2 linked regions of the Drosophila melanogaster genome follow. The protein of the gene in region 2 interacts with the protein of the main gene of each other region in a pairwise test. Each region holds a gene or a part of one and is shown on either strand. Other genes may lie near its edges.

What was found.
Region 1: the proteins of Alr (region 2) and alpha-Catr interact in a two-hybrid assay, tested with the Drosophila melanogaster proteins (one large-scale study listed by BioGRID).

The regions. Positions count from the first base shown.
Region 1 is NT_033778.4:23,955,985-23,959,740, reverse strand, and holds the start of alpha-Catr (alpha-catenin related), read right to left. Parts: upstream 1,900-3,756; 5' UTR 1,552-1,899; coding exon 1,522-1,551; intron 1,410-1,521; coding exon 1,229-1,409; intron 1,169-1,228; coding exon 1-1,168. Other genes in the region: CG16787 (uncharacterized protein), read left to right, coding at 2,559-3,320; thoc5, read right to left, coding at 3,446-3,688, 3,745-3,756.
Region 2 is NC_004354.4:19,746,238-19,749,993, reverse strand, and holds the start of Alr (augmenter of liver regeneration), read right to left. Parts: upstream 1,681-3,756; 5' UTR 1,445-1,680; intron 1,091-1,444; 5' UTR 1,082-1,090; coding exon 686-1,081; intron 607-685; coding exon 365-606; intron 306-364; coding exon 143-305; 3' UTR 1-142. Other genes in the region: parvin, read right to left, coding at 2,124-2,744, 2,912-3,183, 3,263-3,352, 3,685-3,756.

The DNA.
Region 1 (3,756 bases), on a different chromosome or scaffold from region 2:
GCCAGTACGTGGAACGACTTGACCAGCTTGGAGCAGATCTTGAGCGACTCGTTGAAATCCTCGATCTGGCTGGACACGGAGACGACCAACTGCTTGCACAGCTCCTCCAGGCTGCTCAGCATACCCAGTTCGGGATCTGACCGACCCTTCACCTGGCCTCCGCCCACTCCTCCAACTCCACCGGCTCCACCGCCACCCTCGTGCTGATCCTTCATGATGGTGTTCAGGTAGAGGTCGAACTCCAGCTTGCAGTTGTCGCAGTAGGAGAGGATGTTCTTCCGATGGTTGTGGCTGATGTAGGGGGAGTCGGTGAAGTCGTGTGCCTTCTCGAACAGCTTCTCGAAGGCGAGCGAGAGCTCCTCGCGCAGGTCCAGGCTCTCGGAGCTGAGGTGCTTCCTGAAGTTCGTGTTGTTCACCATGCGGCCGCCGCCCGCCGCGGAGGGCAGGTTCTTCTCCGACTTCCACAGGTCATCGTCCAGGAAACTGAAGTAGGCGTCGGAGTTGTTGTTGCCCTCGCCAGAGCCCTCGTAGTAGCTCATCTGGTACTTGTACCGCTTGATGAGGTTCACAATGCGCTTTATTGTCGTGTAGATGCTCTCGTTCTCGTAGTTCGGGTTGCTCGCCTGCTTCTCGAACGGCATGTGCTTGGCCGTGTCGAAGATGCTGTCCTTCACCACGAAATGGATGAGGTCCATGGCCCTGCGGATCTGGCAGAACACAGTGTCCCGGTTCTCCTTCACGATCACGCAGTCGCTGTGGATCAGGCTGTTCTTCGAGGACGTCAACAGGATGGCGATGGACTTCTCCAGTATCTGGCGGGCCGAGAACATCTGCGCCCGCCGTCGCTCCTCCTTGAAGGAGTTGCGGTGGTGGCCCGTGAGGTAGGCCAGCTCAATCATCTCGGTTCCGAACACGGAGAAGGCGCGCACGAATTCCGTGAAGTTCATGACCGACTCCAGCTTCTCCAGGCTCTCGGAGGCCCGCTTCTTGGCGGTCAGCAGCTTCTTCACAACTATGATGTCGACCAGCAGTAGGATGCGCGTGACGGACGACAGCAGGGAGCGGGCCGCCAAAATGATGGCTCCATAGTCCTTAAGGGGCTCGATGTGGTGGCGCAGCTCCATGCCGCTTAGAGGTGAAATATCACAAAGTCGTTCAATCGATTTTCCTATCGTACAACAAAATACAATGAAAAGGATGTACCAGGCTGGAAAGGATGTCTTCTTACCCGCATCTCTGGCCTCCTTCGCCGCCTCGTACATGTCTCCCTTGATGTCAATATTCTCCTCGGCGATGATCTCGCCAATGGTTATAAATCGCTCCACGGCAATGTTCAGCAGGTGACCTATGTTCCCAAAAGTGGACATGATCTGCTCGTTATCCATATCACGAACTCGAAAGCGTTGATTCTGGAGAGGGGAAGGAGAGCCCACATTGGCAGTTGGTTGGGTTTCAAGGCCAATCAATAATCGCTGAGGACTAGAACGGAAAGTTATCCCGGACAGCCGGTTGGGTACTTACGTTAACAGTTGATTGAGTGATTCCGTACATTTTGGATAGCTCGGTTACCGATAGAAAAATTGATTATACGTAGTTTAAGAGTATCCGCAAAGCGAGTTTCAGGCATGCAGCATTTTTATTTACTTCCTATTGATTTTTCTCAATACTAGGGCTAGCAGAGTCGAGTAGACATTGCAACTAAGTCGAGAATTTGGCACTCAATAATACGGTCACCGATTAGCGCGTCATAGTACGAGGCTCTATGGGTTTAAGCTCAAATAAAAGTCGATTTTTCAGCCAGCGAAAGCTCCTCAGCTCAAATTAGTGTTATATAGCTGGGTGGCTGTAAACAACGTGTTTACCTGCAGACAGATATATGTGTATGCCCCCAGATTTGTGTGTGATTCGAGCTTGTAACAAATTGGTCTGCGCAGCAAGTCTGCGCACAAAACCATTTAGTACTGTAAAGTGCAACAGTTTCTCGTCAAACGCCTCCTGTGGGATTCGATGCGGATGCGAGTGCCTGGATTCGATGCTTGTTGAGGTACCAAACATTTATCAGAAGAACAACCAAGAAAACCGCATAAGGCAACTCCAAAACCATGTACTTACATAAATGAAAAGTGTTTGAGATTATTGCACTTCAAAAAAGAGACAACATATTTCATGTAATAAGCTTGAAACACTAAATTCAAACCAAATAAGTTATATTTTCCATTTTCATGACTTCCGGTTGCGGAAGTTAATTTGTGAAACTAATCCGGCATGACAACCCTGGACAACGGGAGTTCCCCTAACATCCACACTGGCACTCGCAGCTATTGGGACATTACACACAGTCTGGCCACACTGCAGCCCAACGACCATATGATTTTTGCCGAGTATTTTATTTCCAAATGTTGTTACCTAAACACGAGCACGTCAAATTCCTGAGGGCCGCAAACGAAAAATAGCCAGGATCTAAGTTCAATTTGAATGGTGTGATCTGCAGACGAGGCAGATCTGAATCGAGGAAACCCAGTTCCGGTGAAGGAAGTAGCACACAAAGTCCTTGCAAGATGTTGCGAAATTTCGGGATTTCATCAATAAGAAGGAGCAGCTGGATGGCCAACTGGTGCTCCAAGGAGCGGGCGTGGGCGTCCGCCATGCGGCTAAGTGCGTCTGCGCCGGCGAAGTGTCCACAAAAGTTGTTAAACAGCCATGCCGCCAATAACCTCCAGCAAAGTCGAAGGGCCTACGAGAGCACCAAAGCGGAGAGGCTGCCCGGGAACCCTAAGGAGAACGAGCGTAAGCCCGAGGACCTGGATAGAGCCTACGAGGTTCTGAGGACCACGCTACCAAAGCTGTTCGTGGAGCCCCTAGACTACTCCATTTACAGCCCGGGCCTAATCTTCCACAACAACATAACGGGCAAGCACACGGTGGGCCTGTACCACTACGTCAAACAGATCGCCATCCTGCGAACGGTTGGCCACCTGAAGTACGCCTACGTGAAATTCGAGGTGCTCAAGATCACGAAGCACCAGGACGACTACACAGTGCGGATAAGGTGGCGAGTGCGCGGCATTTCCGGCCTGAAGGTCATGTTCCAGTTCTGGAAGTACAAGCTCTGGCAACTGAAGGAGGTGCTGAAGGATCAGGAGGCCTGGTACGACGGCTACTCTGTCTGCTATCTGGGCGACGATGGGCTGATCGTCAAGCACGTCGTGGACAAAGTGATGCCGGACGAGAGTCGGGAGGCGGTTGAGAACCCTTCTGCGACGGCACTACCTCCCGGATCCTTGGCAGCGACCTCTTCCCAGAAGATCAACTGCCAATGAAGTCGTAGCTAGCTAGCTTTAAATGTTACTTATTTATTGTATTACTAATCGTAATAAACGCAACTGTGAGAACGTTTAGTAACCGCATTGGCGCATTGTGTTGTACAACATTCGTTATTCAACTGTCACTGCTTGAACGCGTAGACCGATCCCTTCTTGATGTATTTGTAGGGGCGTGAGCGGCTCCGCTTGGCGAAGGCGCTTATGTAAGGCTTCTCCTTGTTGTACTCAATGGTGTTTTGCATGGATCCCTCGGTTTCGAGGAATATATCGAAGCTGTAGATGGTGCGGAAGAGCTGCGCGTACAGGATGCAGTCGTTGGGCTCCAAATGTTTGGGCTGCAGGGAGTTGGTCCAGAACTCCATCATCTGAGGAATACAAGTTTAAAAGCTAATTGGAGGATAATACCTGAATAAGTTCAAACCTTGATCGCCGA
Region 2 (3,756 bases):
CGGTACACCGCCGAGCAGGAGTCCCGTGTTCCGTGGTTGTAGTTGTGGGCCAGCCGAGCAAAATGTGGGACAAAGTCTGGTCAACATGGCAACCTGCAACGGGCGGGAGACGGGGCTTCTCGGCGCTGGTTAGCTGCGGCGCCTAGTCGCAGGAGCCGTCTAGCCAGCCGTCGCGCCACCTCTCGTTCACCTTGGTGCAATCGAAGAGCGGTTTGCCCAGTTTGTCGTTCACTCGGTTGTGGAACTTGCACAGCCACAGTGCTAGCTCCTTTTGGGAGTTCACATTGATGGGGTTGACGTCCAGGCTGCAACAGAGGTCCAGCTAAAGTGTCAGCGTTTTCAAATGGATTGAAGATGCACTTACTCGGTGCGAAAGTCCTTGGCGCAAAACTCGCAGGGGTAAAGGCGCGACAGAACCTCAAAAAAGGTCTTCATGTCGCGCTTCTCGGTGTCCGTGGGGTTGTCCGAGTAAAAGGCGGCCATGGTGTGGAGCAGTCCCCAGGTGGAAATTCCCAGCCTCACCTTGTCCAGCGGGCAGTCGTCGCGGGGCAGCGGATCTTCGGCGGCGTTGACGGTCAGCTTTTCGGCGGCGGCCATGTGCTTCACCTGGAGGAGTATGAAAGTGGGAGATTCTTGTGTTATCGTCCTGCTTGCGAAGGCGAAGTGGCCAACGCGATCACGTCACCTTGGCGCTCTGCACGTTGGAGATGAGGCGTTGCTGCTTGGACCACGACTTGAAATCGTTGCAGGTGCGGCAGTTCGAGTCCTGTTTGCCGGCGCCGCTGGCACCGGCCTTGCGGTTCGCTGCGAATGGGGACTCGTGGTGCTCCTTATCCATCTCGGGATTCGCCTCGGCAGACATGATGAAGTCCGGGTCACGGATCAGGCGGAGAACGGTGCGCTGCAGACGGCGAATTACCAGGCGAGTTGCTTCCCGGCTGAGTTCGATGTGCGTGGGGCTGATGTAGTCGTAGCCGTAGTTGTGGGACTGGCGGCGCAGCAGAAGCGTTGGTGTGGTGGGTAGTTCTAGAATCTTGAAACTTCGCTCGGCTATTGTGAAAATCATAAAAAGCATGCGCATGGTTGCCACCTTGTTTCGAAACGAAACACATAACATTAGGACATATCTGGCTAAGCGGCTTAGTTAAGCGGCTGCAATCAACGCAAGTTACTAAATACTGGCTTTTAGATTCATGGCCAACATCTGGCCAAGGACCAAAATCCGGTCAGCAAAGTAACATTTTCAAATTATACCGGCCAGCAATCGAAAATCGATGCGAAATCGTTCCCGAACGGGAAGCGATCTGGCAGCCTGCTCGCAGCTGTGATCGATACCAGACCGTTGCGAGTTGCGCGCGCAACCGCGACAATTCAAATAGCACAGCGTTCAGAAAATTACTAAGGTTTGTTTCTCAATCAATTCGAGACGCTCGAAAGAACTTACATGTGAATAGGATGGAAGCTGGCGTTTGTGAGTGCTGCAGCCCCAGATAAATTTTGCGCCTTGGAACTGTTTAAAATAGAATAACACATATGCTATTGGCAATATTTATTGATTTTTCTGATCCAAATTTTTAACGTACACAATAAAATTTTTTTTTAAGACTTTTCCGTAAACTTCTACATTTACAGCGTTAAAATCTGATCTGTGACATAATTTGCAAAAGCTCTGTGTGATCTAAAGGCACAATCTCGGTTATTGTGTTCAAATAATGTATTAATACAATAAATTCACTTAGTAACAACTACAACGTCTGGCACGTGAGTAAGACAAGTTAACAACTGGCCGCCGGATTTTGGGTTTGGGTTAGCTCTGCTCTGCTCTGCTCCTTCCTGTTCCGAGCAATCTGAATCTGGAGCAGATCGCAGTGGTTAGACGTACGACACATAAATATATATATATATATATAAACATTCCTTGGGCTGATTATACGCGACGCAGCATTTAGTTGTGGTTTTGAGAGTTAGGATCAGTAAGCTTTAACCGCTGCATCGCCTACAATCAGTTTCGAGAACGCACATAAATTAGGCGTGTAAACACTATCAAAAAGTTAATATAAAATGTAAAATTGGCGCCGCTTGTTGCTCCTGCAACCCGCTGGCTCGTTCCATCCGGGTTTCACTCAGGCGAAGTCCCTGAACATGGTGAACAGGCTGTATAGGACGCGCAGGGTGGACTTGAGGTCCATGTTCACGATGTCCTCCGGCCGCGCCTTTGGTTTGGGCAGGCCCACGTCCTGCATCAGGTCGAAGGCGAAGGCCACGTTGCTGACCATCTGATCCACGTCCTGCGGCGTCAAATGGAACTCGTGCAGCGGCACAAAGAATCCACCGAGCAGGCCCATCAGCAGGCACAGGTATACGCCGTCGCGAAAGTCCGTGTTCAGATCGCTGATCTCAAAGTTCAGCTTGGCCAGGTGCTTGTTCACGAACGTGATCAAGGACTTCTTCACCACGGCCAGCTTGTCCGGCGCACAGTCGATCAGCGTGTCGAAGGCGTCCTTTTCGCAGCGCATGCCCAGGTCGTCGTACTCGGACGTTATCTGCTCCTGGAACTTCTGCGCGTTCAGCACGCCCGCATTCTTCTCCGCAATCACGACGGTCACGAACACGTTCTCTGGCAGGCGAACGGGCGCCCGGAAGTGACGCACCAGTGCCACCAGCAGATGTAATATGGCCACAATGTTCTTCGAGTGCACGCTGGCCACCGACCACTTGGGAATCTTTTGGTGAAAGCCGAGTGTCTGTGGGTGTGGGCAAGGATAAAATTTATTCTTATATCGCGAGAAAAGGGAATGTTAATTGTAAATCGAATAAAAATTATTCTATTCGACTTTAAGAATGGATAAATAATTAAATGTTGGTAACTCCGATTTTTAAATCCTGCAAAACATAAACTACTACTACTTACATGGTTGACGGCCTTCAGGACGATGTTGAGCTTCTCGTGCTGGCCCTGCTCTGACTGGGTGACCTCAGGAACGTCCAGCTTCTTGCCGGTGAGCTTCTCCCACAGCTTGTGCAGCACCTGGCCGTCATACATGTCCTCTTCCAGGTGCTGAACAATTATGCGCTGCTCGGCCAGCTCGTCGTTGATCCAGTCGACGAGGATGCGCTGCAGCTTTATCACCTGGGGATCACTGATGGACTGTGGATCGATGACGGCGCGCTGTTCGTGCTCGCCTGTAGGATCAAATGTGATGAGTTGTGGGAAATGCGATGGGTATACGAGGAGATGCCCCTTCAAAACGAATGCACTTACGCAGGGCATAGTCCTCCGGCGGGATGTCATACTGGCTGGGCGATCCAGGCGAGTCGATGGCGTACTTGCCCTCCTCTTGGACCTTCTTCACTGCAAATGGAGCAAGCGGATGCGTATTTAGGGTATCAACAAGGTAAACAAAAACGGTGACGACACAAGGCCATCTCACACAAACGCACACACTCTCGATTATCAGCGCCGTTTGCTTGTGTGGGTCAACAGTGACGCAATGTTCTGATTAATCAGCGCATCCGCACATCTGTTCCCAGAAGAGCTTCCAGTGCGCAGGGGGAGGATCCATTGGGTCATTTTGGGCCACTTTTCGGAGGTTCAGGGGTCCAAGAATGGAATACTCTGGGATACCCATCAATTCCTGGCCGACAATAGCCATCTGGAGAGCTCCAATCATCAAGTGGACTTACCTTCGCGGGTGCCGCGTTTGCGGCCCAAAGTGCTGAACTTGTCCCAGAAGCTGTCCTCCTTCTCGCCCTTTT